7 linked regions of the Ovis aries genome follow. The protein of the gene in region 6 purifies or fractionates together with the protein of the main gene of each other region. This does not show direct contact. Links are inferred from orthologs where the notes say so. Each region holds a gene or a part of one and is shown on either strand. Other genes may lie near its edges. The genes, in order: STRIP1, PPP2R1A, STRIP2, STRN4, STK24, SIKE1 and STRN.

What was found.
Region 1: the proteins of SIKE1 (region 6) and STRIP1 purify together in Homo sapiens (affinity purification with mass spectrometry; 3 studies listed by BioGRID and IntAct, with this or other methods). This does not show direct contact. The link is inferred for Ovis aries from reciprocal best matches to the Homo sapiens genes SIKE1 and STRIP1.
Region 2: the proteins of SIKE1 (region 6) and PPP2R1A purify together in Homo sapiens (affinity purification with mass spectrometry; 6 studies listed by BioGRID and IntAct, with this or other methods). This does not show direct contact. The link is inferred for Ovis aries from reciprocal best matches to the Homo sapiens genes SIKE1 and PPP2R1A.
Region 3: the proteins of SIKE1 (region 6) and STRIP2 purify together in Homo sapiens (affinity purification with mass spectrometry; 3 studies listed by BioGRID and IntAct, with this or other methods). This does not show direct contact. The link is inferred for Ovis aries from reciprocal best matches to the Homo sapiens genes SIKE1 and STRIP2.
Region 4: the proteins of SIKE1 (region 6) and STRN4 purify together in Homo sapiens (affinity purification with mass spectrometry; 3 studies listed by BioGRID and IntAct, with this or other methods). This does not show direct contact. The link is inferred for Ovis aries from reciprocal best matches to the Homo sapiens genes SIKE1 and STRN4.
Region 5: the proteins of SIKE1 (region 6) and STK24 purify together in Homo sapiens (affinity purification with mass spectrometry; 4 studies listed by BioGRID and IntAct, with this or other methods). This does not show direct contact. The link is inferred for Ovis aries from reciprocal best matches to the Homo sapiens genes SIKE1 and STK24.
Region 7: the proteins of SIKE1 (region 6) and STRN purify together in Homo sapiens (affinity purification with mass spectrometry; 4 studies listed by BioGRID and IntAct, with this or other methods). This does not show direct contact. The link is inferred for Ovis aries from reciprocal best matches to the Homo sapiens genes SIKE1 and STRN.

The regions. Positions count from the first base shown.
Region 1 is NC_056054.1:87,345,493-87,349,697, forward strand, and holds the start of STRIP1 (striatin-interacting protein 1), read left to right. Parts: upstream 1-1,405; 5' UTR 1,406-1,417; coding exon 1,418-1,597; intron 1,598-4,205. UniProt on the Homo sapiens protein: Plays a role in the regulation of cell morphology and cytoskeletal organization. Required in the cortical actin filament dynamics and cell shape. Part of the striatin-interacting phosphatase and kinase (STRIPAK) complexes.
Region 2 is NC_056067.1:58,174,942-58,178,278, reverse strand, and holds the end of PPP2R1A (serine/threonine-protein phosphatase 2A 65 kDa regulatory subunit A alpha isoform), read right to left. Parts: coding exon 3,200-3,337; intron 1,950-3,199; coding exon 1,807-1,949; intron 1,141-1,806; coding exon 1,049-1,140; intron 920-1,048; coding exon 903-919; 3' UTR 501-902; downstream 1-500. UniProt on the Homo sapiens protein: The PR65 subunit of protein phosphatase 2A serves as a scaffolding molecule to coordinate the assembly of the catalytic subunit and a variable regulatory B subunit.
Region 3 is NC_056057.1:95,037,012-95,040,511, reverse strand, and holds part of STRIP2 (striatin-interacting protein 2), read right to left. Parts: intron 1,513-3,500; coding exon 1,438-1,512; intron 384-1,437; coding exon 249-383; intron 1-248. UniProt on the Homo sapiens protein: Plays a role in the regulation of cell morphology and cytoskeletal organization. Required in the control of cell shape. Calmodulin-binding scaffolding protein which is the center of the striatin-interacting phosphatase and kinase (STRIPAK) complexes.
Region 4 is NC_056067.1:53,600,438-53,603,937, reverse strand, and holds part of STRN4 (striatin-4), read left to right. Parts: intron 1-927; coding exon 928-1,098; intron 1,099-1,235; coding exon 1,236-1,376; intron 1,377-1,836; coding exon 1,837-1,935; intron 1,936-2,116; coding exon 2,117-2,203; intron 2,204-2,835; coding exon 2,836-3,005; 3' UTR 3,006-3,073; intron 3,074-3,297; 3' UTR 3,298-3,500. UniProt on the Homo sapiens protein: Calmodulin-binding scaffolding protein which is the center of the striatin-interacting phosphatase and kinase (STRIPAK) complexes.
Region 5 is NC_056063.1:74,810,233-74,813,732, forward strand, and holds part of STK24 (serine/threonine-protein kinase 24), read right to left. Parts: intron 964-3,500; coding exon 778-963; intron 1-777. UniProt on the Homo sapiens protein: Serine/threonine-protein kinase that acts on both serine and threonine residues and promotes apoptosis in response to stress stimuli and caspase activation.
Region 6 is NC_056054.1:92,154,047-92,158,016, forward strand, and holds the start of SIKE1 (suppressor of IKBKE 1), read right to left. Parts: upstream 2,801-3,970; 5' UTR 2,721-2,800; coding exon 2,562-2,720; intron 2,327-2,561; coding exon 2,221-2,326; intron 1,145-2,220; coding exon 1,002-1,144; intron 1-1,001.
Region 7 is NC_056056.1:87,081,726-87,085,761, forward strand, and holds the start of STRN (striatin), read left to right. Parts: upstream 1-1,236; 5' UTR 1,237-1,341; coding exon 1,342-1,575; intron 1,576-4,036. UniProt on the Homo sapiens protein: Calmodulin-binding scaffolding protein which is the center of the striatin-interacting phosphatase and kinase (STRIPAK) complexes.

The sequences.
Region 1 (4,205 bases), about 4.8 Mb from region 6:
GTTGCATCACAATGACTTTCCAAGAACTGAGCAGCCAAAATGTAGTTCTGGAGAAACAAGGATAACTAAAATGCTTTTAAGGATTTCACAACACAGTATCAGGTAATTACTACGCATCACCTCTAAGATGTCAAATGGGCATCTTAAACACGACATGTCCAAAACAGACATCTTGATCTTCCTCCAAACCTATTTTCCTCTGACTTCTCTATTTTAATAAGCAATACAACCACCCACCCAGCTGCTCAAGCCAAAAATTTAGGACTCATCCTTTATTCCTTCCTATCCTGCTGATAGGATTCCAGTCTTTCAGCAAATCTACCTACACAATACAGAAATACCACATCAACCCAATGTTCCAACCTGGCGTAAGACACCATCATTTCCATCTATATAGTCTCTGAACCTGTCCACCCTCACCTACTCTTGCAACACCCCAATGCTTTCTCCAAAAGCAGCAGCAGGTCAGCACTTTCTGATGGTTTTCCATTTTACTTAAAATAAAATCCAGAGTACTTTCTATGCTTTTCTAGGCCCTATATTTATCTGGCCCCTGCATTTACACGGCCCTCATCTCCTACTGTTCTTCTCCTGGCTCACTCAGTTCCTGCCAAGCCACCTAGGAGGCTCTGCAGTTAGCTGGTCCCTCTATGTTACCTCCATGGATATTGGCATGGCTCTCCCTCACTTCTTTCAGAACTCATTCAAAATCACTCTCAGCCCCTCCTTCCCTAAGCAGCCTACCTAACATAGCCCAGCTGTACCTCGATCACTGTCACCTTCCAATGCCTTACAGTTTCTTTCGTTTCTTCTCAGCACTTATTTGTGAGCGCATTGTCTGGCTCACCCACAGGCTCTATGTTACAGATCATTTCACTTTTTTCATTAGTGTAGGAACTTGATTTTGTTCCCCATTCTCTTGCACTGCCTTTAGTCTAAGAGACATTCATTAAATGTTTGTTGAATGAATGATTAAAAGAATGTCGTAACTGTAATTGTTTCATTGATTTACTCATTCCTTTCCCACGTCTCCCCCACGTGAACGTAATCTCCATGAAGGCTGGGATCGTGTCCATTTTGTTCTCTACAATATCCCGCAAGCTTTGGACAGATCTGTGAAAGTAACAAGAGCAAAGCGATGTTAAAGGAAAGAGGGGGGTTCCACTAAACTGGCTGAGGGGCTAAGGGAGGTTTTGCAGATAAAACTGCGATCTCTAAACTGGAACCGAAACACAAACTAGAAGGGTAAGATTTCACAAACAGAGAAAATCTCGCGAGGTGTTGGACAGTCAAGATGGCGCTGGCATGTGCCGCCACACTTAATATGGCGACCAGGGCGCGTTCCGGGACGAAATCACGCGAGAGTTGCATCACAGCCATAGTCAGTGAATTGAGCCGGGGGTGTGGAGCCGCCAAGATGGAGCCGGTAGCCGGCACTCCCGGCCCGCTGATCATGAACAACAAGCAGCCTCAGCCGCCGCCACCTCCGCCGCCTGCAACCGCGCAGCCTCCACCTGGGGCACCGCGGACCGCCGGAGGTCTCCTGCCTGGTGGCAAAGCCCGAGAGTTCAACCGCAACCAGCGAAAAGACTCGGAGGTCAGGAGCTTCGGGGGGCGAGGCTAGCACCAGGCGGGCGGCGGCGGTGGACCCCGGCCCCATTTCTGGGCCACTTTCGGGTCCAGGCTGGGTTTCCTGGAGGGTTCGGCAGGGGAGTTGTCATTTACAGCGAAAGGAGCAGGAAGCAAGGCTGACATCCCCGGGAGTCGGAGGCGTGAAGCTGGGGTCCCCGACCCGAGCTCTGCCGACCGGGAGAACCTCCCGGAGCCCGTATTGGCTTTTCTGAGGTCCGGGCTGTGGGCGCGGTCTCCGGGCTCCAGCCCCTGGGAAGTCCGCCCCGTGCCCCATTTCTCGGGTGAAGAGTCAGTGACCTGCGTGCGCTCTAGAGGGCGGGGCGGCTACACCCCAGACCCCCTAATCATCTCCAGCTTCTGGTCCTGTGAGTTCCGCGGCGCACGGTGGCGGGCATGTGTGGGCTGGGAAAGGACTGGCGAGGGTTGGGAAGGCACCTCCGAGAAGGACTGAGCTAATTAATTAGCACTAATAGTATCAATACTACGCGCCTGTAGGTCGCGATGGTTGGAAAGGGGAGCAGTCTTGTTCTGCTCTGAGCTTAGCCACTGCAGATTCAGGCCACGGTTAGACAGTGCCCGGTGGTTGGTGTGCCCAGTCCACCCGATGCTCAACTGTTAAAGATCAGAAATAAATTAAACAGGCGTTGAGGCTCAACATCTCTCTTCTCTTGTTTAGTGGGCTGTTCCTCCCATTCCGGAGACACCGTAGTCTGGAGCTGACTAGTCACCTCACCCCGAGTTGAAGAATTACTCCCACTGCATTCCATTGTAGAATTCATGAATGAAGACACACACGTAGCAGCGTTTTAGGGCTTCTTAATCAGCATGTTCCCAGAGCACTTACTAGGAAATTTCTTTCACCTGAGACAACCCTGAGGCTGATTAACAGTCAGATGCTTATTAATGAGAGGGCATTTTTTCTTGTCCAGATATAATGTATCAGGTCATACCTGAGTGATGATGCTATCTTTAGACACCTGAAATCAGTACCTCTCAAGCTCTTGGTTTTGTTGGCAAGAACAAACCTCTGGTCAAACATCAAAATTTGACAAGTTCCAGTCAGATGCACTTTGAGCTTGAAGTGAATTATTTGAAAAAGCAATGAAACCGACCTTTTAGTAGCCCTTGCATGATGGGCTGATTGCACATCAGTGGTGACTGCTTAATAATTTTTCAAGTATGGAGGATTTTAAAAGTGGTAGGGATGAATCCAGTTTCATCATCAGAGGCATCGTAGTTGTTCAGTAGTTAACAATTTTCCTAAGTGTTTCTATTAAATGTACTTTCTACCCTTTAATTTCTATATAGATTCAACACATGGAAGGTCATTCAGTGAACACATTTAAGCTGAGAGACCTGTCAGAATCTATTTTCTTAGAAATACTGATACAGCTCTCTTTTGAGTCAAAGCTGAAATCAGTAGGCTGGGAGCCAGAGGCGTGCCTGCAGAACAGGGAGGCAGGTATTTGACGAGAGCCCACTGTGCGGCATCGTTTTAATTAGTCCTTAAAAAACCTTCAAGATAGATTTTTGTCATCCTCATTACATAAATGAAGAAACTGAAGCTCAGGAACTTATGAAACTGTGCAGCCTGTTGCCTCTGAATAAGAAGTAGAGTTATTTATGTTACTCATGTTTGAGGGTATGTTATGTCATTTTGTGGGTGGTCATTGTCTTCCCAAGTAGATAGTAATTAAGCTGAGGACTACCTTTTTCTTCACCTCTGTTCTTTTCCCAGAACAAGGCTTCCCAGATGGTGTGTTCTCAGTACTCACTTATTTCCAGCAGTAAAAAGATTCTTTGCCATAATCTCTCCTATGTGTGGGAGGGAAACCATTTCTGTTCAGCTGCTGCCTTCTCTGTCAGTTCTTGCTGAAATTTGAGAGAAAGGCAGGAAGACTGAGGGTGTCAATACTTATTTTGTACTGAGCTGTTGATAGCCCACTTGCTAAGTCACTTCAGTCGTGTCCGACTCTGTGTGACCCCATAGACGGAAGCCCAGGCTCCCCCGTCCCTGGGATTCTCCAGGCAAGAACACTGGAGTGGGTTGCCATTTCCTTCTCCAATGCATGAAAGTGAAAAGTGAAAGTGAAGTCGCTCAGTCGTGTCTGACCTCAGCGATCCCATGGACTGCAGCCTTCCAGGCTCCTCTGTCCATGGGATTTTCTAGGCAGGAGTACTAGAGTGGGGTGCCATGGCCTTCTCCCTGATAGCCCACTAGCCAGAAAGAAACGAGGCTTCTAAAGCCTTAGTACCATGTGGAATGATCATTTCATTGCATGGAACACATGGAAGCTTTAGTGTTCATTTATCCAACAAGTTGTTATTTGAGTATATGCTCTTCATTCAGTCACCCATGCCAAGTACTGTGCTGAGCATTGTGAAATCATGGGTGAGAAGAATGGACACTAAACAGACGCACAGGCGCATGTATAATTATGAGTTATGATAAGTGCCATGAAGGAGTAGTGCAAGGGGCTCTGAGAGGGCTTGGTAGGGAGAGCCGAACTAACCCAGAAGACAAAACATTGTGAGAAAACGTCAGAACAGTGAAGGCAGCGATGTGCTGTAAC
Region 2 (3,337 bases), on a different chromosome or scaffold from region 6:
AACCAGTGGTTCTGTCTAGCCACAGTCCCCAGCCTGCTCTGCCGCGGCCCTGATGATCCTGAGAGCTCCTGGCCCACTCTTCTCACGCGTCAATCACTGCCCACGCTGTGTGTATTACCTCGTTTAGTCTTCATTCCTGCCCCGCTCAATCTAGAGTCTGTTACCCCATTTTACAGTCCTGCAATCTGAGACTGGGCACCTACTCAAGGCCACACAGCTATTAATGGAAGGACAAGGATCTGGACGCAGGCAGTCTGGCACCAAGGCACCTGCTCTAACCACCACACACTCAGCCAGCCTCTGTGAAACCTAAGTGCACCTCAGGACTCCGCTGGCCCCTGGGGCCAGGGGCACTCCCATCGGCTTCCCAGGGAATCCTCCTCACTCGCAAGGACAGGGATGCGGCAAGTCCAGTCAGTCCTCGCCAGACAGAAGCGCAAGGCTGGGGCCCTGAGGTGGTGCCCCCTTCTCCATCTAGTGACTAAGACCAGAGGACCAGCTATTTCTAGACCTTTATTTCTCTGTGAAAAGGGGGGCAAGGGAATAAAATAAAAACAGCACAATTGACACAAAAAACCCACCGAGAGGAAGGGAGGGAGGTGGAGATGGGGGAGGGGTCCCCATACAGCAGCAGGAGCCGGCGACCTGGGATGCTCCCGCCTCACCCCAAAGGGCGGGAGTGGCCCCTTCCTCCCAGGGTCTCTGCTCTGTCCCACCTTGTGCGCCCCCAGCCCCGTGGGGGGGTGGATGTCCCAGGCTGAGGGAGGAACCGTGCCGGGGAAGGGACCTGGGGTCAGACCATGCACAGGGAGTGACAGCCAAAGGCCCCCACTGTCCCCCCAGGGAGGAGCCTGGAGGGGGAGGGCGGACACCGGAGGCTGGCGGTGGCTCCTCTTCCAGCATCAGGCAAGAGACAGAACTGGGGGAACAGGAAGAGACGGGAGTCAGAAGGCAGCCAGCCCGCTGCCCACAGCCGCTCCCAGGCCAAGCATCGCCCTCGCAGACCCCCACCCGCTCCTGCCAGCGTCTCGGATTCCTGACGCCTCACCAGTCAGAGCCTCCTGGGCAAAGTACTTGACGTCCACGTCCTGGTCCTGGGTCAGCTTCTCGAGGACGGGCTTGACCTCACTCTGCAGCGTGCTGGGAAGAGAGGGGAAAGGCGAGGGGTCAGAAAGGTGGGGCTGCTGGGTGTCTGCACAGACGCAGACACACAGGTGCACGAGAGCTCTCAGGGCCAGAGCAACCAGTACTTGGAAGGCTGAAAGTCTCACAAACCAGGACAGAGGCCTCGGGGGCCCAGAATAGGTATAGGGAGGTGAGGTGGTGTGGAAAGGTGGGGCAGAAAACCCAGAACCCTCAAGTCTCTGAGCCTCGGCCACGTGACGCCTTGTATTTGTGTAACATTATATACCGAGGCCTACTGCCCATCAGGTGTGGACACAGTGGAAAACCCAACCCTCCTGACTCTCACCCACACGGAGCCCAGACTGGGAGAAGGCAGATCAAATTGCTGACAAGTAACAGGAGAGGCGAGCACCTGAGGGAGGGACTCGGCCCTACAGGGGCCCAGGGAGGTAAGGGCCGAGGGAAATGCTTCTGCAGCGGCAGTCAGCTGTTTGGGGGACGAAGGCGGTCTTCAGAGAGAAGCTAAGGGGTGAAGCTGTGTCCTGGACAGACAGGTGCAGGCGTCCCAAGGCCCTTCCCCCAAAATAACCACCATTCTCACTTCCATCGCCTGCGTCCCCCTTGATCCATTTTTGAAGTTGATACAAATGCAATCGTGTGTGGAGGAGGGGCAGGCCTCACCTGTTGTCCAGGATGGGCCCGATCTTCTGCAGGGACTTGGCCACGTTGAAGCGGACATTGGCGACAGGGTCCCCGGCCATGCGCAGCACGGTGGGCAACATGTGCTTGGTGGTGATGTCCTGCCCGCAGACCTCGGACAGCACCTGCAGGCCAGGGAGCAGCAGAGGGTGACTCCCCAGAGTCCTCGCTCCCTCTGACCGGGACACTTAGTGGCCATCGGGCTTGGGGATAAAACTAGCTGAGCATCAGGGGGACTCTGAGCTCAGACTCGCCCAGCCTGAGGGCCTTGATTCTCCACAAGTTCCCAGGTTCCCTAACACCCTCTTCACTCCACCATCTCCCTGCCCTGAAAACCCCCAGCCCACACTGTCCCACCCCAGCTCCCTTCCTCAGAGTCTCCCTCATCCTCTGGGGATGGGACTGGATTCCTGACCCTGGGATCCCTTCCTTAGTGCTGTGGTCTCCAGAGTGATGCACAGGAAGGGATTACCGGAACAATTTTATGCTAACTTTTAAATCTCATTCTTTAATTTGTAGTTATGTGGTTTAAGTGGTTTTAAGTTTATTTAAGTGTATGGTTTATTTACGTGACTACATACAAGTACTTTCTACTGTATTTATCTATCAGTACTTTCTACTGTATTTATTTATCACACATTTACATATCACACACACAGCATACATATCACACACACAGCATACATATCACACACACAGCATACATATGCATCACATACACACCATACATTACATACCACACACACACAGCATACATATCACACACACACCATATATACACACAGCATACGTTACGTGTCACACACACACACCCCATACGTTATGTATTACATACACACTATACATATGCATATTACATACACACCATACATTACATATGAACCACTGTTCTAAGCTGTATAACCAGATCAATGTCACAGCCTCGGGAGTCTGGGGCTGTGATTGTTGGTATGAACCCTTTACAGGTGAGAAAACTGAGGCACTAAGTAATTTTCTCAAGGTGCACAGTCAATATGTGGCAGAGCTAGAATTAAACAGTAGGTCTGATTCTAGAAACTGTGCTTTAACCGTTGTATCATAAATATCACTTATTTTGTGAGGAAGGAGGGGGTGCTCAGACAGACCTGGCCATCACTGTTCTGTTGGCCAAATTTCCCCAGTCACCCCCACGCAGGTCCCCACCTGCAAAGGCCCTATACTCTGACCAGGGAGCCCCAAGTTCCAGCCTGCAGTTCCCCAAGGACTAACCCCTACGGCCCCAGATCCCATCACTTTCCTACTCCCAAGCCAGCTTTCCCCCGAGGACCTTCTCCATTCCTCCTCTCCCGTCTACTTCCCCTCCCCCAGGGAGAGGTGGGGGCCGGTGGGCGCTCACATTGATACAGAAGAGTGTGGTCATGCGGTGCAGGTAGTTGGGGTCCCCAGACATGGCCAAGACCTTGGGGATGATAGTTGCGTGGGCCCACTCCTTCCCGAACTTCTCCACCAGCTTCTTCAGGTTGCTGGTGGCCGC
Region 3 (3,500 bases), on a different chromosome or scaffold from region 6:
AAAAAAGAACCCTGTAAGAAATCCTGGCACTCCTGGAAAGATAAAGGTTGATTCCGAGGGATCCAGAGCAGGATCTACCACTATCTCCCCTTCACGTAAGTACAAGGCTACTCCTAGTACACGACACGATTGTCCTTGAAAGGCAGGGACCTGGCTTTCCCAGCATGACTTGCGTCATCCTAGCCCTGATAACACCATCTCTCTCCCCAGTCTCCACCCCTCTCAAGTTGGCAAAGGTGGCTGCTCACCTTGGGCCAGGTAGAGAACAGCTCGGGCCACCTTCAGTCTCCGTTCCCTACTGACCACCTCCAGCCGGTCTAGGAGTCCCATCACATAGGCCTTCTGGGCATCTTCCTCCAACTCCAGCCACTCCTCACCCTGCACTGGGGACAGGAGGACATAGAGATGCAGTGTCAGCTGTTGCCTCCCCTTCTTGGAAAGGCTTCTGAGAATGTATGCACCTCTGATGCCAGCCCCCACCAACAAATTCTTCTCTTCAAAAGCTTTACTGAGCTGACAAAGAATAAGGAATGGGAAAAGTAAGCAACCAAATGTTCTTGCCTGAACCCACTCTATAGCCTCGTCTTCCTCCACACCCCCTCTATCTTTCTGTCTTTCCTCAGGGACTTCCCTCTGTCTCCCTACATATCCAATTCCTATACATCGTTACAAGTTCAGTACAAAATCACCTCTTTTCCACTAATGCTCCAGCCAGAAGCTTTGCCCATGATACTTTTTACTTCTCTAATGACACTACTCATTTTCCTCTTGGCCTCAGCTAGTTTCATGACGTACACATTTCCCCTCGGCTATCTAACTATAATTTCTTTGAAGATACTGTAAATTTACCTCTACCCTTGCCTCCTGCATCTCTGGCACAAACTGTATACTCACCACACATGTGCTGAGCTGAACACTGAATTGACACTGACCAAGTAAGGAAATGGAGGTCTGAGTCGGTCACAGTGTGGGCACTGAAATTGTTACTCCTGATGGTATCGGGAGTGAGGCAGAGTGGAGATGGGTTGAACACTAAGGTCAAAGGCCAGGCTGGGCACAGGGTTACTAGTCTGAGTGGGTCACAGTGTGGGCACATGAAATTATTACTCCTGATGGTATCGGGAGTGAGGCAGAGTGGAGATGGGTTGAACAGTAAGGTCAAAGGCCAGGCCGGGCACAGGGTTACTAGGTAACAGGACAGCAGTCCAGCAACATCTCCTCACTCCTTTGACATCAGGAAAGGCCCCAGATCAGGCTTCTCTTACTTCCACTCTGTGACTTCTCTACTTGATACAGAAAACCCATATGCAAGAAGGAATAGAGAAATTACGTGGCTGTGAAGAGGAGGAAGGATCATACTTTATTTTAGGCTTTTTCTAGATCAGCCTGGGATATCACAGAAAAAGCAGATCTCAATGAATAAGGATCTGGGATCACCTTGGGTCTTGAAATCCTCTTCAAAGCACCTCCTGTTAGTGGTAAATTCTGGGTTTTCGGTGTAGCTGTACAATTCTGTGGCAGGAAAGAGAGGACAGAATCATAAACATTTAGCAGATCTTCACAGAAGGGGCCTGGGATGGAGACAGTGGCATGAAAGAGCTAAAGCTTCCAACACGTTCCTGTGTCCAATTCAATCCAGAGCCAACTTCCTCCTTTTCGGAGGTTAAAAATAGCCACTTGTGTCCCTGGGTGATTAAAGCATCAAACCTGTCCTCCTCCTGCCAGCTGGCTGCTACGGCAGAGAAGGCAGCCTTCGACATTTGTTGAGGGCCAGGAGGAGGGCTGGGACAGAGAAGGTTTAATGTCATCATTCCTGTTTCTTAGGGCTGCATCCTTTTCTGCTTGTCAAGCTAGACTGGAACTATCTTGTCTCTAGGGAAAAAGCGGACAATACAACTCCTGAAATTTAGATGCCAGATCCTTGTGCCATTCAAGGAGCCAGGGTGAGGGCTGGAGAGGATGTAAATATTAGAGGGCTCTTTGGGGTTGGAGCCAGTTCATTCTCTCCCTGTGGAGCTTCCTCGAAAGGTATAGAAGTTTACATTCCCGCCCACGGCCACCTGGGCAGAAACAGCATCAAACCATGTACAAGCAGCTTTGATTGTCAAAGGGCCGCCTGTGCCCAGGAAAATCTAGTGAAAATCTTTGCTGGCAATAGCCTCTCAATACAAAATACAGAGAGCTTTTGAGAAAAAAAAACACTCTTTCACACCTATACATGCTCACATCAGAATACTTCATCAGTACTCTTGTCTTACAGGGGATGAAGAAGTAGTCAGTAGGTCAAGAGATGCTTCCTCAAAACTGTTCCCTAAGATCCTGGCTGGAAATTTAACTAGGTCACAGATAATTCACAAAGCAAGAGACATTCACTTATGTTCCAGCCGGCTGTCTTACTGGTCAAGAAATACCTTGTCTGGGAGCCAGGGCTTTTGCATTCTGAGTTCCAGAGTCCTAGAGTGACCAGAAGCAAATCTCAGCTCTGATTGTGAAATTCTTCAGTCATTAGTGAGTAGTGTAGATTTATATTTTTTAAGAGTAGGGCACAAACCAACTCAAAAAAGGGAGAAAGGCTCTTAGGTGCTGACCTTTGCTTTTGTCTTATTTTTAAATTTTAGATCATGAACTTTGATACTCTACAGGTAAATATAGAATGCATAAAAGACACTGTGTTTATCTCTTCAGATTAAACAAGTGTTAAAACTTGTCATATCTGTTTCAGACATCTAAAGCCCCTTCTTCCTCCCTGGTCTTATTTCCCTCTCTAGAGATAACCACTATGATGAAACTGGTGTGTATGCTTCACATGCCTATTTTTATACTTTTAGTATATGTGTACATGCCTGTCAACCACACATGATATTATTCTTTTTTTAAAGCTTTTATCCAAATGGTATCATATTGTATGAATTATTTTTACTTAGGAGTGTTTTTATTTTTCCTTAGGAGCATTTTTTATTAAGTTTTTCAAGATTTTACATGAAAAGCAGTGTGATGAACAGATCCATTCATTTAACTGACACGGTTCTCAATCAAGTGTGCAAGCAGACATCTAGAAACATCTTTAGACTTGTGTGTTTAAGCAGTTTTTTCCCCCTTGTTTCTAGTTGTTTACTCTCATAACAATGCTTTAAGTTAGAGGATAATTACTTTATAATATTGTGATGGTTTTTGCCATATATCAACATGAATCAGCATTAGGTATTTAAGCAGTTTTCTGGATGCATGTATAAATTATTTTGTCACTGTTTCTTCTACCCCTCAACATATTTCTAATATTTATTGACACTGAAGCATACTAATACAGATCAATTATTTTAATGACTATACAGTAGCTAATATATTGATATACTACAGTTTACCTAGTCCCCTAAGTTTTTTTCAGTTGTTCCCAATGATGACAATAAACATCTTTTAAGTGTTTTCTTGGGCTTAAGAGTTTCTTTTAAAGTGTACCAGAGTTGTTGGGTCATAATATGTATGAATTCAACTTTGCTAGA
Region 4 (3,500 bases), on a different chromosome or scaffold from region 6:
AGGACCCAGGTGATTGAGCACGTGACCGAGGGTCAGATGAACGAGGCAGCGAGGGGGCGGTGGGTGAGCGGTGCACAGAGCAGCTCACTGGGCTGGAGCTTTGGGCAAAGCCAGGTGAAGGCGTGGTGGGCCCTGGCAGCACCCCACGGTCTCCGCCTGCATCTGCGTGGAGGAGCGGAGCCGGCAGGGCTGGGGAGGTGGAGACGCTGGCTGGGCCGGGCTACAGGGTTTACTGTTAAGTGGAGAAGTGAGCAGACCGTCCCCTTGGTTCAGTGTCCGTGTCCCTGCCCTCTGACACCTCTTTTGATAATGCTTTTGATCACATTTGGCTCCATGCCGCAGCATGTCGGGGCAGAGTTTGGGGATCTGTGTCTCCTCTCAGGATCGTCTCACCCTGTCAAAGATCAGGGGTCAGCCCCAGGCAGTGTCTGCTGTTCACCAGGCAGGCTGTCACACATTGGGTGTCAGCAGGGCCCAGCCAGAGCACCCCACATGGACCCAAGTGACCAGGGAGGTCATGGTGGGAATGACCTCAGAGCTTTGGAGGAGAGAATGGGCAAGAAAAGACTGCGGGGACAGAGGGTGGGGCTGACTCCAGGGGCCAGGCTGCAGAAGTCTTGGCCCTTATCCCCTTAACTGAGTCCTAAAAGTTATGTTCCGTGCAGGGCTTTGTGGTAGGCGCTGTCACGGGCCTGGGGGAATGGCAGGGAGCCAGATCATCCCTACCTCTGGAGTTTCCACTTTGGGGGCATTGAAAGCCTGAAACCTTCACAGAACAGCCGGCCCATGGTCGGAGCCTGAGCAGCTCTGAGGGCACAAGGATGGGGCGGGGGGAGGGTGACTCGGCAGAGTGGGGCTGCTGGGCTGTCCGAGCTGGAGCTGGACAGAGGCCCTGACGCAGCCCTCTCCCCACTCTGGCGGGTCCAGACCCAAGCGTGTTGAGCCACGTCCTGGAGGGCCACGGGGACGCGGTGTGGGGCCTGGCCTTCAGCCCTGCCTCCCAGCGCCTGGCCTCCTGCTCTGCCGACGGCTCTGTCCGCATCTGGGACCCCAGCAGCAGCAGCCCGACCTGCCTCTGCACCTTCTCCACAGCCAGCGGTGAGGGGCGGGGCGGGGGGCTGTGACACCCTGGGGGTGGAGGCCCCAGGGGAGGTCGACTTCTGACTGGGGCCCAGGCTTCCCGCCACAGGGCAGGAGCAGGGCTGTTGGCAGCCTTCTGTCTCCTCTGCCTTCAGATCACGGGACCCCCACCTCAGTGGCCTTCACCAGCACCGAGCCTGCCCACATCGTGGCCTCCTTCCGTTCTGGCGACACTGTTCTGTATGACCTCGAGGCTGGCAGTGCCCTCCTCACGCTGGACTCTCGGGGGAACAGTGGTAAGGGGGTGCCCAGGGCCAGGGGCTGAGGCCTGAATGCCTCCAGGGCCCCAGTTTCTCCTGGGGCTTTGGTGACCTGTTGCCCAGTCAGTGGACAGTGGCTGCCCTGCCCTCTGCAGGGCTCCGAGCAGGATGGAGATCAAGTCCCAGTCACTGTGCCCTTACGGACATCTCCGGAGGGCTGGGAGAGAGACATCCCAGGGGCTCCCCTGTGGACCGCTCAGTGGAGCAGAAGCACTGCCTTCACGGTTGCCATCCCTCCTGCTCGCCCAGGGGCCATGCAGCGTCCACGGCACAGATGGAGAAACCCTGGGCCCTGGAGGGAGCAGCTGGGGCGCCCAGCCCCGCTTGGCATCTCGGCAGAGGACAGGGATGGGATGGCCGTTTCTCCTCTTGTCTTTGTTCCTCCTGGTCTCCCTGATTCCGCCCCCCCTTGACTTCTGCTTTCTCTCCTGTTCAGGCCCAACCCAGATCAACCAGGTGGTGAGTCACCCCAGCCAGCCCCTCACCATCACCGCCCATGACGACAGAGGCATCCGTTTTCTGGACAACCGCACAGGTGAGGCCCGGCCTCCCCAGCCCCCGCTCACCTGTGCGGTTGGGGGGCGGGGTCAGCCCAGCTCAGAGCGGGAGATTGGTCAGTCCACCTTGGAGCCTCAGTGTCCCCGCTAGCCCCTACACCTTTCCAGGCTGAGCACAGAGTGGAAAAGTAACTTGCTGCCCACCCTGTCTCCCTGCAGGGAAATCGGTGCACTCCATGGTCGCCCACCTGGATGCGGTCACCTGCCTCGCCGTGGACCCCAATGGTGTCTTCTTGATGTCAGGAAGTAAGTCGGGGGCCTCCTGGCCCCTCAGGAGTGAGGGCACGTGCCCTTCCTAGCAGGAGCGGGAGAGGCATGCTTGGGGGCTCCCTGAGGCTGGGGCGCTGGTGGGAGTGCTGTCTGAGCAGGGCTCAGGAGCCCCTCTGTGGCAGGTTAGAGTGGTCACGGGGGTGGGGATACCGGAGCCACGGTAGGCGCGCTCCCACACGGCCCTGTTGCATTTGAATGAGGTTGGTACTGGAGCCCCCACTGTGCACATGTGGAAACTGGGCCTAGAGAAGTCACTTCACTTGGTCACAGCCCAGCGGGTTGCAGGAATTGACGTTCAGGCCTGTCTGACTCTCAGTCCCCGCAAGACAGGGGACTCTTAGCAGTGGGGCACCTGCCATTTGTGGATAAAGACACCAAGCCCCAGTGACTGCTCCTCGATGGCGTGGCTGGGACTCGGGCGGATGGAGAAGGGGCTGAAACTCCCCAGGGGGATGAAGAGGAGGCACTGGCCTGACAGGATGGCCCAGGGCGGTTCAGCTGTCTCCAGGGAGGCCGGGTTCAGGAGGCAGGTCTGGGCGGGGAGCTGGGGGAGCTGGGGGACCCGGAGCTGCTGAGCGACAGCCCCTCCTGCTCCTGCACCCGCACAGGCCACGACTGCTCGCTGCGTCTGTGGAGCCTGGACAACAAGACGTGTGTCCAGGAGATCACGGCCCACCGCAAGAAGCATGAGGAGGCCATCCACGCAGTCGCCTGCCACCCCAGCAAGGCCCTCATTGCCAGCGCAGGCGCCGACGCCCTGGCCAAGGTCTTCGTATGATGCCCACCTGGCCCTCCAGCCCAGGCCGCCACGCTGGCTGGGGGGTGGGGCCGGGCAGTGGGACTGAGGTGAGGGGATGGAGGGAGGGAGGCTGGGTTGGGAGGGCAGAAGCCCCGGGCACCCTCACTCCCGCCTGGCATTTCTGGAGGGTGCCAAATCCCGACACCCTAGCTGGGATGCCCTGCAAGAATTGCCAGGGTGGCCCCCCAGCATTCAGAGGAAGGGCCGGAACTGCCTGACCTCTGGCACCCTGGAGACTGTGGTCCAGCCTCCCCTCTCCTGTCTCCCGCAGGTGACCCCGGCCTCGGTCTGGAGGCCCCGAGGCCCAGCCGCCTCCTGCCTGCCTTGGGGCCTGGTGGTGCTATCGGCCCTCTTCCCCAGGAGGCCCTTCCCACGGCCTCCCACCGGGTGTGGCCTCCTTCAGGAATCGCCCTCCAGCATGGTCTCGGAATTTTCCCTCTACCCTGGCACCCACTCCGGGTCTCTGAGCTTCCT
Region 5 (3,500 bases), on a different chromosome or scaffold from region 6:
GTCACAAACAATTGGACACGACTGAGTAGCTGAACAACAAAAGCATATTTTTAGATAAGAGTTCTTTGTAGGGAATGGGGGGGTGGGGGTGGGGATATGAGTTTAGAAGTTTCAGCCTGACCTGTGGCTAACCCTGCTGGAAAATTCAGAAACCCAACAAGGACATACGGTGTGACATGCAACACCAAAATACACAGACAACTTTGCAAGAAATATCCTAATTCAGAGAGAAAATGAGGCTGAAGCCATGCAGTCATCTCTGCCACATGGCTCTGCCAGATTCAACTCAAAAGCAGAGACAGTCAGAAGGAAGAGGGGAAAGCAAGGCGGGACTACGTTTACATCTCATTCCTCTTTCCCTTCCTAACACATGCCAAGAAGAAACCGAAAACGTTTACTTTAAAGACTTACTTAGCCACTGTTTCTCAGGCCGGACTTTGCAGATACGCCAACAGCTAAAAATAGCCCAACCTTCCACTATAAATATTAAAAATGTATGATCCCACATAGAATATTAAGGAGAACAGTCTTCAAAGCTCAATGCGGTAGGAGATACCAGAAAATCTGAAAGACGGTAAGTAGACTTTGAAGCCTTAAAAAGATAAAATAACAATAAGCATTTCCACTTCAGAAAAAAATCAATCATACCCATTTAGAAAAAGAAATGAGATCATGAAGACAGCTGAAAGCAGAGAAGGAAAACAGACCACTAAGACGCATCCAGACCCATCAGGCCCCCATGGGGGGAGATGCCCGTTCCCAGGTCAAGACACTCACAAAGCTCGGCTCCTTGTTCAAACAGGCCTCCACGAACTCCTTGAGGGGTTTGCTGTAGTTCCCTTCCAGCGTCGGGGGGTTGTTCTTTGGGATAAGGAATAGGACCTTCATGGGATGCAGCTCGGAATGCGGCGGCTCCCCCTTGGCAAGCTCGATGGCCGTGATGCCCAGGGACCAGATGTCCGCCTGCAACAGCGAAACACAGCTAGTTAGTTACACATTCGGAGGGGAGGCGGTTCAAAGAAACGTACTTCCTAGAAGGTAAAAAACAAAACCAAAAACTAATGTGCTTCTGAGGTCTTGAATAAGATACTCATTCTTAACTGAAAAAAATTTGTTAAAGATAAAGCCTTTGGTGTAACTTCAAAAAAGGCAACACACAGGAGGACATGTAATAATATCATCTTCTGCCTCGACGTGGAAGCTGGCTCTGATGATTACACCTCTTCCCTTTGCTGCCAGAGGTGGGAGACGTTCCACGTTTGTTTAAGTCCCTGAGTCAACAGGACAGGCAACCTGAGGTCAGTGGAGACGGCATGTCTGGGGACCACAGCACGTTTGCAGCCACCACGTCCAGAGATGCTTAGAAGCCAGCCCTTAAGCCACAACAGGATGAAATGAGATCCCTGTTCCCAGGCGGCCAGGCCAGGAGCCTGGGCCCAACCCTTGGAACTTCTCTTTGGTCCTCCTATATCAACCAGCTGCCAGGTGTGTGGCTCTTGACCTCTTGGCGCCCTGAGTCCCCATCTACCCCTCCTGCCTCCGGCTTAGTTCAGAAATGTCTTCTGTCCCTAGGGCTCCATGAGGGGCTCCAGAGTGGTCTTCCTGACTGCAGGCTCCGCCTGCATATATCTAACATCCTGCTGACTAACTTGGAAACCCTGACTGGCACTTGAATAAATGGCAAGCAATCTGGCATTATGCAGTCAAAGTCACAAAAATACCCACACTTGTTAAAGCCAACTAATTTCACGTCTAGGAATCGATCCTAAATAAATTTTATATTTAGAAAATGGTAAGGGATGCCTAAAATATTCAAAAACAGCATTACTTATGCTAAAACCTTAGAAGAATGACTATATTGCTATGACACATTAACTTGACTGAAGTATCAAATATTCAACACTGATGCTGATAGAGAATCAACTGAGTTTGTCTATTACGGTATCTAGGATTTACAACATCAGATTTTAAAATGTGTCTGAATTTTAAAATAAGAATTATATGGGAGAGGGCAATCATTTTTCAAGCAACTAAAATTGAGGTATAAGAGGAGACCTGTTTTACCATCGTTTGGGAAATCAGCTGTTAAGGGAAACCAACAGTGGTTTTCAAAAATGAGACTAAGTAAAAAAAAAATCACAGCTGAACTGCAGATATTTACTTGTGAACAGATTTTCTTTCCGTATGTGGTTAGTCCTGGGGAGCATTCTCCTAAAAGTGACAACGAAGAATTATCCGTTATTGATGAGCAGTGGGGGTGAGGGGACCCAAGAGGGGCACCAACAGCAGCTCTCAAAATCCTCGCAGTAACACTTAGTTAAGCAAAAGTCACCTGGCTACACCTCTGCAGACGAAATACAACTTTTTTTTTATGTATTAAAAAAATTTATGTATAGAAAATATTCTATGAAGAACCACAGAGGGGGACTTCCAGTGGTTAATCCATGGGTCCCTTGCAGGGAGTATGGGTTCGATCCCTGGTCAGGGAACTAAGATACCACACAGTGTGCGGGGCAGCCAGAAAAAAAAAAAAAGGAAGACAGGAGAAAAAAAAAAAAATGGAGAATCCCAAATAACAGTTATAACTAGTTAAAACACAGCCCAAAATGGATTTAATAGAAACTATTCAATAAGATGCAATATTCAGAAACACATTAAGTCGCACGAGAGGTATTGAAACCGTCTGAGACCGACTCCGTAGCAATACATGGCCCCACCATTACCTCACGCTTGGACAAAGCTGGATTCTTTCTCCGCTCACATCCTTCCCCTGTGTGCAAAGTGCATCCCTCCCAGCCAGGAGGTGGGAACTCCTGGCCCTGAGGATTGAGCCGGGGAGGCCATGGGCTGCCATCGGGACGGGAGGGTTGGTCACGTACCCAGTGGACCAGCTGGCTGTACACATTCCAACAGATGGGCCGGTCCTACCGTGTCTCCACTCATCTTTATTTTTCCATCAACACATCACCTGTTTTCATCCTTCACCATGGTGACTGCAAACAGTTATTTCGGACGCGACTGGACACCAAAATAACTTAGCTTGTGCTTGGGTATTAGGCCTACAGATGTTTTCCCCTTCGCTCATTTTTTCCAGTATTTTCCAGATTAAAGACTAAGTGCTGCTTTTGAGACCAAAAAAGGGGAAAGTTGTTTACAAGGAGAACACCAGTGCTGGCCGCTCAGCTTCCACAGGGGTTGCTAGCAGGGAAGTCGATCAACATTCCAGCACAAATGTCTCTCCTCTCCTCCCAGCTTGTCTCTGAAGGGCTGAGAAGCCCGCATCTGTGCAGCCCGACACCCTCTCGGCCCCGTGAACCAGCTCACAATCAGAGCCCCTGAAGCCCAGCGCCGCACTGGCTCACTGAAGCGTCAATCACCTGGCATGGCGCTGGGCTCAGCTACAGCAAGGGCAGAAGGGAATGAGCACAGAAGGGGGCAAGGTCCCCGCCCCAGTCCAGCCCACCCACGGACATCCTTCCCCTTAGAGAAACAGGGAAAAG
Region 6 (3,970 bases):
AAGCTTTTCATATAAGCTAAATTCTGTCTTCTTCAAGGATCAGGTTTTTCTCCTTTGGACCACAGATGAAAGTTATTCACATATTTAAAAGATCCCTGTTCCCTATGACCTTAGTTAGTTAAACTAATTAAAATGCTTTCGATGGAATCTAAGATGAAACTTATCTTCCATAAATTCCACTGTAGCAAATAGTGAGGTGTCAATCTATTAATTTAGGATTAAATAATATAGTACATGCAAACATACAAAGACAACTCTAAAGCACTCTACAAACTTAAGAACAATTACTGCATCTCGCAAAATAAACCATAAGCAACGAGAGTATAGAAACTATGCCTTTTTTTTTTTTTAAACCGTACTTCTCTCTCCTAACAACATAGTATGATGCTATGTTTACTGACCCCCCTGCTATGTGACAAGTACTATGTTAGGGATAAAAGAAATTCACACTCCTTACAAGCAAGGAGCTTACAGTTTAGTGAAACATACCATAATAACAACTCAAGTATTTACTGATTACCTTTAACACTAACAGGCTTCCCTTGTGGCTCAGCTGGTAAAGAATCTGCCTGCAATCCAGGAGACCTGGGTTCAATCCCTAGATTGGGAAGATCCCCTGGAAAAGGGAAAGATTACCCACTCCAGTATTCTGGCCTAGAGAATTCCATGAACTGTATAGTCCATGGGGTCCCAAAGAATCAGACATGACTGAGTGACTTTCATTTTCACTTTAACGCTAACTGACATTGTTCAGTGGAAAAACGTAGTGTTCATTAACATCTTGAAGAGAGATCTTGGTGGAGGGATGAACTTGAGTCTTACTCAGATAAAAGGCCCTTTACCCCCTTTTTTCTACTCATATCTTTACAAAGCTATACTAAAACCTACAGCAAATGTGGTAAACATGAAAGGAAAACAAGTTTACTTCAAAAGCAAGCACATGATCTAAAACAATGTCAAGATTTCAATTCATTTAGAATTTATCCATCAAAGTTTCTTACTGCAGAGTGAGACTGGTGAGCTTTCAGGACTGGTTCAGCATCCGCTGCTTTTTTAGCAACCATTAATTGTAACATCTGTTTTCGGTATTTGCTCATGATGAGTTCCAAAGCATCCTGGTGTTCCTCCAAGGAAACCCATAGCTCTATCAAAAAACAAAATAACTTGGCAGTGATGTCTGAGATACCTCCTAAAGCCAAACTCAAACAGCTGGATTTTATGACATGCGTGAAATACTATGAACCCAAAGATGTAAATTGGTGTTTAAGTCCACAAAACTCAACAGCCATGGTCTATGCAAAAAATATCTTTCCAGGCAGCAGCAGCAAAATCTGGTAGAATCAACATGGGATGTGGCATCAGAAGACATGAGTTTAAGTTCAATTCTGTGAATTACTAGATTACTACTCTTAAATCATGTAACCTCTCTGAGCCTATTTCTTATCTGCCTTGTAATAATAAAAACCTGGCTTGTCTACTTCAAAATGAACATATGAGAATACATATATGCATTGCATGATATATGTGAAAGCCTTCTATAAATTTATATACAAATAACTATTCATACTACTATCATTAACAATATATTCACCAAGCCCAAGAATATACACCTGAGGATTAAATTAAGCTCTTCCACCTTGCATAAGAACATAAAAATCCCTTCAATCTTAGCTTTAATGTTTATTTCAATATTTAAACATTAAATCTTAAACCCTTGAGGATATTAACTCTTCCGTTATGCAACCCTCCATCTCCAGACACCTAACAAGCCATGCAATAATAATTCAACTCTACTAAGCACCTGTTGGATAAGCTGTGTTTAAATACAAAATCAGTCAGATGACCTTTAAAAGAGTAATGTAATAAACTTTACTGCTACTGGGTCATCACAGGCTATGGCAAAGTGAAAAGTGAAGTCGCTCAGTTGTGTCCGACTCTTTGCGATCCCATGGACTGTAACCTATCAGGCTCCTCTGTCCATGGGATTTTCCAGGCAAGGGTGCTAGAGTGGATTGCCCACTCCATTATTCTTGCCTGGAGAATCCCATGGATAGAGGAGCCTGGCAGGCTACAGTCCATGGGGTCGCAAGAGTCGGACACGACTTAGCGACTAAATCACCACCACAGCATGTGCACTTTTGTGACTTGCCATTTTTGCAAGAACTTTTGAAATATTACTGGATATGAGAAAATCATTACACACAAAAAGGCCTGACTAACCTCTGTTTTCCTGCTGCAAGTCTCTAATCTGTGTATTCTCTTGGGACAGCAGAATGTGAGGTTTGTATTTGGACATGTCCTTTATATCGGATGCGTCCTCTTGATACTGGACAAACAAGAGACAAACTAATCGCGCTGTAAACAGAACAGCCGCAGATGCAACTGAAGAGGTAGGAGGCAGAACTCCAGGACAGCACTGGCAGCCCCGACCCCACAGTAAAGGTCTCACAGCCACCCTCTGGGCCCAGGAAAAAACTCCAAGCCGAGTTTCCACTTTACCTCATCCTCCGCCCCTCAAGTGCCCAGAACCCGAGGGCACGGGCCCATACCCTCTGCCTGACCTGGTCCGGAAGCGCTGTCCCCGCCTCCCGCATAGCGGCTACCCGCCGGTGCAGAGCCGCTGACTGATCCACCAGTGACTCGGCGGCCGCATCGTGCTCCCTCAGCCTCTCCAGTAGAGTCTTAGCGTCTGTCAGAATCTTCTCGATGGTGCAGCTCATAGCGACCCCAGGACCGCAGTCAGAACACCGCTCACCGGTGCCAAGGACTCAGCGCGTCCCTGAGCAAGTCTCAGCGTTACAGACGTCACTTCCGGGTACGTTTAAAGGAGCCTCGGCGGTAGCTGCGATATGCGCTTGCGCAGTGGCAGCCTCCGTGGCTGGTGACCGTCTTTAACCTGTGGCTTCCTCGCATCCTCGCCCTGTGCAAGGGCCCCAGAGGACTGCCCTTGCCACGCCTTTGGTTTCCTGTTTCCACTGCCTGGTGGTCAAGTTGTGTTAAGCCTGGGCTAGTCTTGAGTTTCTCCTGTTCCTACTGGTTTTGATTGATGTGGATTATTCTTATCACCGTTAAAAATTTTTTTTCCTCTAATGTGGTAAACACGCTTTAAATTTATCATCTTAACCAATAGTATTAAGTACGTTTAAGTTGTTGTGCAGTCATTACTATCATTCATCTGCAGAATTCTTTTCATTTTGCAAAACTGAAGACTTGAGAGTCTCTTGGACTGCAAGATCAAATCAGTCAATCCTAAAGGAAATCAGCCCTGACTATTCATTGGAATGACTGATGATGAAGCTCAAGCTCAAGTGCTTTGGCCACCTGATGCTAAGAACCGATTCACTGAAAAAGACTCTGATGCTCAGAAAGGTTGAGGGTGGGAGGAGAAGGGGGTGACAGAGGATAACATGGTTGGATAGCTTCACTGATTCAATGAACATGAATTTGAGCAAACTCTGGGAGATGGTGAAGGACTGGAAAGCCTGGTGTGCTGCAGTCTGTGGGGTTGCAAAGAGTGGAAAGCTACTTAGCAACTAAACACAACAGCATTAGACTTCAACTCCTTATTCTGCCTTCCTCCCAGCCCTTGGCAACCCCTCCTCTACTTTCTGTCTCTACGAATTTAACTACATTAGATACCTCATACAAGTGGAATCATAGAAATCATAATTGTCATTTTTGTGAATGGCTTATTTCACTTGGCATAATGTCCTCAAGGTTCATCCATGCAAGCAGAAATTCCTTTCTTGTTAAGACTGACTAATATTCATATATGTGTGTGTGCATATGTACAGGCTTCCGTGGTGTCTCAGTGGTAAAGAATCTGCCTGCCATTGCAGGAGACTTCATGTTCTATTCCTGGGTCAGGAAGATCCCATGGAGGAGGAACTGGCAACCCACTCCACTGTTCTTGCCTGGAGAATCCCATAGTGGGCTACAACCCGTGGACATGACTCAACAATGACAGCTA
Region 7 (4,036 bases), on a different chromosome or scaffold from region 6:
TTTTTCAGGTGCCTTCCTTTCATTATCATTGTAGTGTGAATTTATAGTGACATAATTTCAAGGACTTGAGAGAAAGGTAACAATTAGACACACTTGAAACGACTCTGGTGTGTCTTTCGTAGGGTAACAATAATGCCAGTTTGCAAGTGAACCATGGAAGAAACCGCGAACCGGACAAGTAAGTGAAAAGGGAGAAGTGTCTGCATACCTAAGAGAGCTCTAGGGCGTGGAAAGGGACTTTGTTCTTGCAGGTAGTTTCAGGCACCGTGAGAACTGATGTACATTTCTCTCTTTTCTCTCATTGCCAGTCTCTTTGACTGGCAGGACTTGACCATGGGAATTGTGTCATTTATCTTTATATTCCCAGTGACAGCACTAAAGAGTCAAACATTGAAATGAGTATAAACTGCTCGGAAATGAGGAAAAATTAGATCGAAATGACAGAGCCTTGGATATCCAAAACTTTTTACAGGATTTACTTCAAGATTAACTACAAAGGGAAAAGGACTTCAGCGGAGTAGGGTTTCAAATGAGGTGTCAACAAACCAGAATTTGGAAGAAGCAGGAAGTTGCTGTGTAGAGTTCTGTAGAAAGATGATCAGAGATCCTTCTCCGTGAGAACTGATCAGGAAACAGGTTTAATTGAACCCTAAGCGACAAAGAAAGGCAGGAACGACAGCCATACGGAAGTGGACAAAACTGAGGCGTGTCTAGGGTCAGAGAATTACCGAAGTCTGAGCAGAAGGGGTCTGAGAGTGGTGGCTGGAGAACCCCGGTCCTGGGGTTGGACTGGCGAAGCTTGCTTTGAGCTTGTTTTTTTATCAGAACTACCAGGAAGCTCCAAAAGATGTGCAACTCGGGCTAACATTTCAACGCGCTAACTTCCGTGAGTGTGCGTGTGTGTGCAACAGCGAGCGCCACCCAAGAACTTCCGCGTGCGAGGGAGACCAAAGCACCGCCCGCGGCTGCCCAGCCCCTTCAGTGAGGAAACCCGCGCATTCCGGCAGGGGGCGGCCCCCACCGCCGCGGGCAGGGGCGGGGCTGTAGGCGGGGCCGCGCTAGCGCCCCGTCTGAACGCAGCCCCACAGGCCGCCCGCCCCGCCCTCGTCGGCGCCCCGCCCCCCGACTACATTTCCCAGCAAGCCTCGGGCCGCCCGCGCGCCGCAGTTGACCCATTTCCCGGCCCGTCCCGGGCTCGACCGGCCCCCGCGCCCAGGCGGCTGCTCCCTGCTGACTGGGGTGTGGGCGGGGAGCGGCGGAGGGAGGAGGCGGCGCTGCTGGCTGCCGCCGTTGCCTCCGCTCCTGGGTGCCTGGGCAGCTTCCCCGGTTCCTGCGGCCGCCATGGACGAGCAAGCGGGTCCCGGCGTCTTCTTCAGCAACAACCACCCGGCAGCCGGTGGTGCCAAGGGTCTCGGGCCTCTGGCGGAGGCTGCCGCGGCCGGCGACGGGGCGGCTGCGGCGGGGGCGGCCCGAGCCCAGTACAGCCTCCCGGGGATCCTGCACTTCCTGCAGCATGAGTGGGCCCGCTTCGAGGTCGAGAGAGCCCAGTGGGAAGTGGAGCGGGCGGAGCTGCAGGTAAAGACCCTCCTGGCCTGGCCCTCTTCATCCCGCCTCTTCGCTCCCTTCCGCCCCGCCCCAGACCCTTCCCCCTCCCCTGCTTAGCCGTCGCTCGTCCCCTCCCCCTTTGCTCCTGCCCATCCCACCTCGAACCTCGTCCCCCTCCTTCCTTCGCCTTTGCCTGTCGCAGACCCCACTTCCTCGACCCGGGTTCTCTCTCTCGCTCCTGATACGTTGTTTACCTTCCTCACACCTTTTCATCTGCTCCTTTCCACTCTTAACTCTCAGGTTCATTTCAGCTCTCTTGCCATTCCACATCTGAGGTGTTCCCTTCAGTTTACTAATTGGGCTTACAGTAGTTTTGCGAGATAAGCAATCATCCCTTGTCCTGGGGAGTCCCATCCTGGGTCTAGAGATGGTCCCCGTAAAAGGTATTGACAGTTGGCGCCTCTCTGTAAGGAAGGTGATCAAAGAAGACAACCAGAAATTGTGTCCGTGAGGCCTTGACTTTAAGCAAGAAGCTGCTGTTGGGCCAGAGTGTTACTAGGAGTATCAGCTCGCTTTTTAAAAATGTAAATGTTTCTTCTTTTCCTTCTCCTTCGCCCCCTCCGGCGTTTCTCTTAGGTATTTCAGATTCCTGGATTTTGAATGAAGGACCTAGATGAGCACTGCCAGATGATGGTTCAGAGATGATTTCCCCTTCTCAGAATCTAAAACTTCCCACGGGTTAATTTTCTGTTCAGGGTTTTGTGAGATTGACTTATACTTTAACGGGAAACTAAAAAGAGCTTTAAAGTTGCTTACATTTCCTTGCATAATTTGCAAGATAAAGTGTATCCAGGGAGGAACTACTCTGGGCTCTTAGAAGGCTGAGAGTGAGACTGGTACTTTGCAGACAGTTCTGAATTGGTAAGTAGGTTTCAGTGGCTGTTCTTAAAACTTCCAAGGCATTCACCAATTTCACAAAGAACTTAGAAAACTCTGAGTGGCTGTGCCTTTCTGTTTACTGGCTAATCCTGTATGCTTGTGAAATCTGAGTATATTTTTGGTTGCTGAAATACTTGAAGTTAAAATACTACCCACTGTGCCACTGTTTTTGGTAGCATGTATTTTCTTTGGCACTTGAAAAGAAATGGAATCGTGTTAAATGGAATCATGTGCTGGACCAGACTGCTTTGGTGGAGTGGAAGTGGTTGTGGAAAGAGCAAGCAGAGAGGGTTATGATACAGGCTGTGTTTGCTGCCAGCTCTGTGACCTTGAGGAAATCCTTTAACAAACTCTCTGAACTTCGGTTTCATCCTATATTCAGTGTCTTTATTAGGTGGTAACACTGTGCCTGTAGGCTTGGGGGTTAACAAAACTGACAAAGCCTCTGTCCTCATAGAGCTTATGTTTTAGTTGGGAGGCAGCAAATGCAGCTATACAGTATGCTGATCCATAGTGGCAACTGCTATGGGAAAAATAGGATACAAGAGTAAGGTGTGATCATGCTCAGTCGTGTATGAGTCTTTGCGACCCCATGGACTGTAGCCCACCGGGCTCCTCTCTGTCCATGGGATTTTCCAGGCAGGAATACTAAAGTGGATTGCCATTTCCTCCTCCGGGGGATCTTCCCCACCCAGGGATCAAACCCTAGTCTCCTGAGTCTCCTGCGTTGGCAGGGAGATGCTTTATCACTTAGCCACCTGGGAAAGCCCCTTTGATGGGGCAGCTGTTTTAGATGGAGGTCAGGGAAGGCCTCTGAGAAGTTGAATGCAGTGAGGGTGTGATCTATAGTTTCTGAGATTCTGCTTATTTATACAATTACATGTTTATATTCTTTGGCAGCTTTTTCACTGGTACGGTTTTGTGACGTCAGTATCTAGTCTGTTGATATTTGTGATTTTTCTCATAATGAACCAGCAATGCATTCCATAAATGAGTTTGTGGATTTCAGACTTCAAGGAAGTATTAAAGGCAGGCTTTAACTTTAACCATTGTACAATTATGGATAATGATTTTTGTATGTAGCTGCTTAAATTTTAACTTCTTATCCAGTTTAGGGAATGTAAGATAAGTCACACTAATTTGTTCAAAAACAAACAAAACAGTTCTTACCTTTCTACCTGGGAAGTCTGAAAATTTCCAACCTATCTTAACTTCTCTCCCTCCACCCCCATATTTAACTTTTAATTTCCCTGTAGTTGTAGTTTCTCTTTAGTTGTGCCCTCTCTCCTCCTGCCCCCCAGAATATATACACACATACACACACTACTTAACTGGGTTATTTATGGCAAATGTTAAACTTCGGGTAGATTTCCTATTGGTGCTCATCATATTAAGAATACTACATGTTCACTGACTCTTGGTTTGAGCTCCAGTTAAAATTAAGCATCCATGGAGAAACTTTGAAAATGTGCCGTGACTTTTAAACAGAACAAGTATATGCTGTTGGAAGGAGAGAATTTGTAGGAATCTGTTTTTTGATTCTCTTATTAGC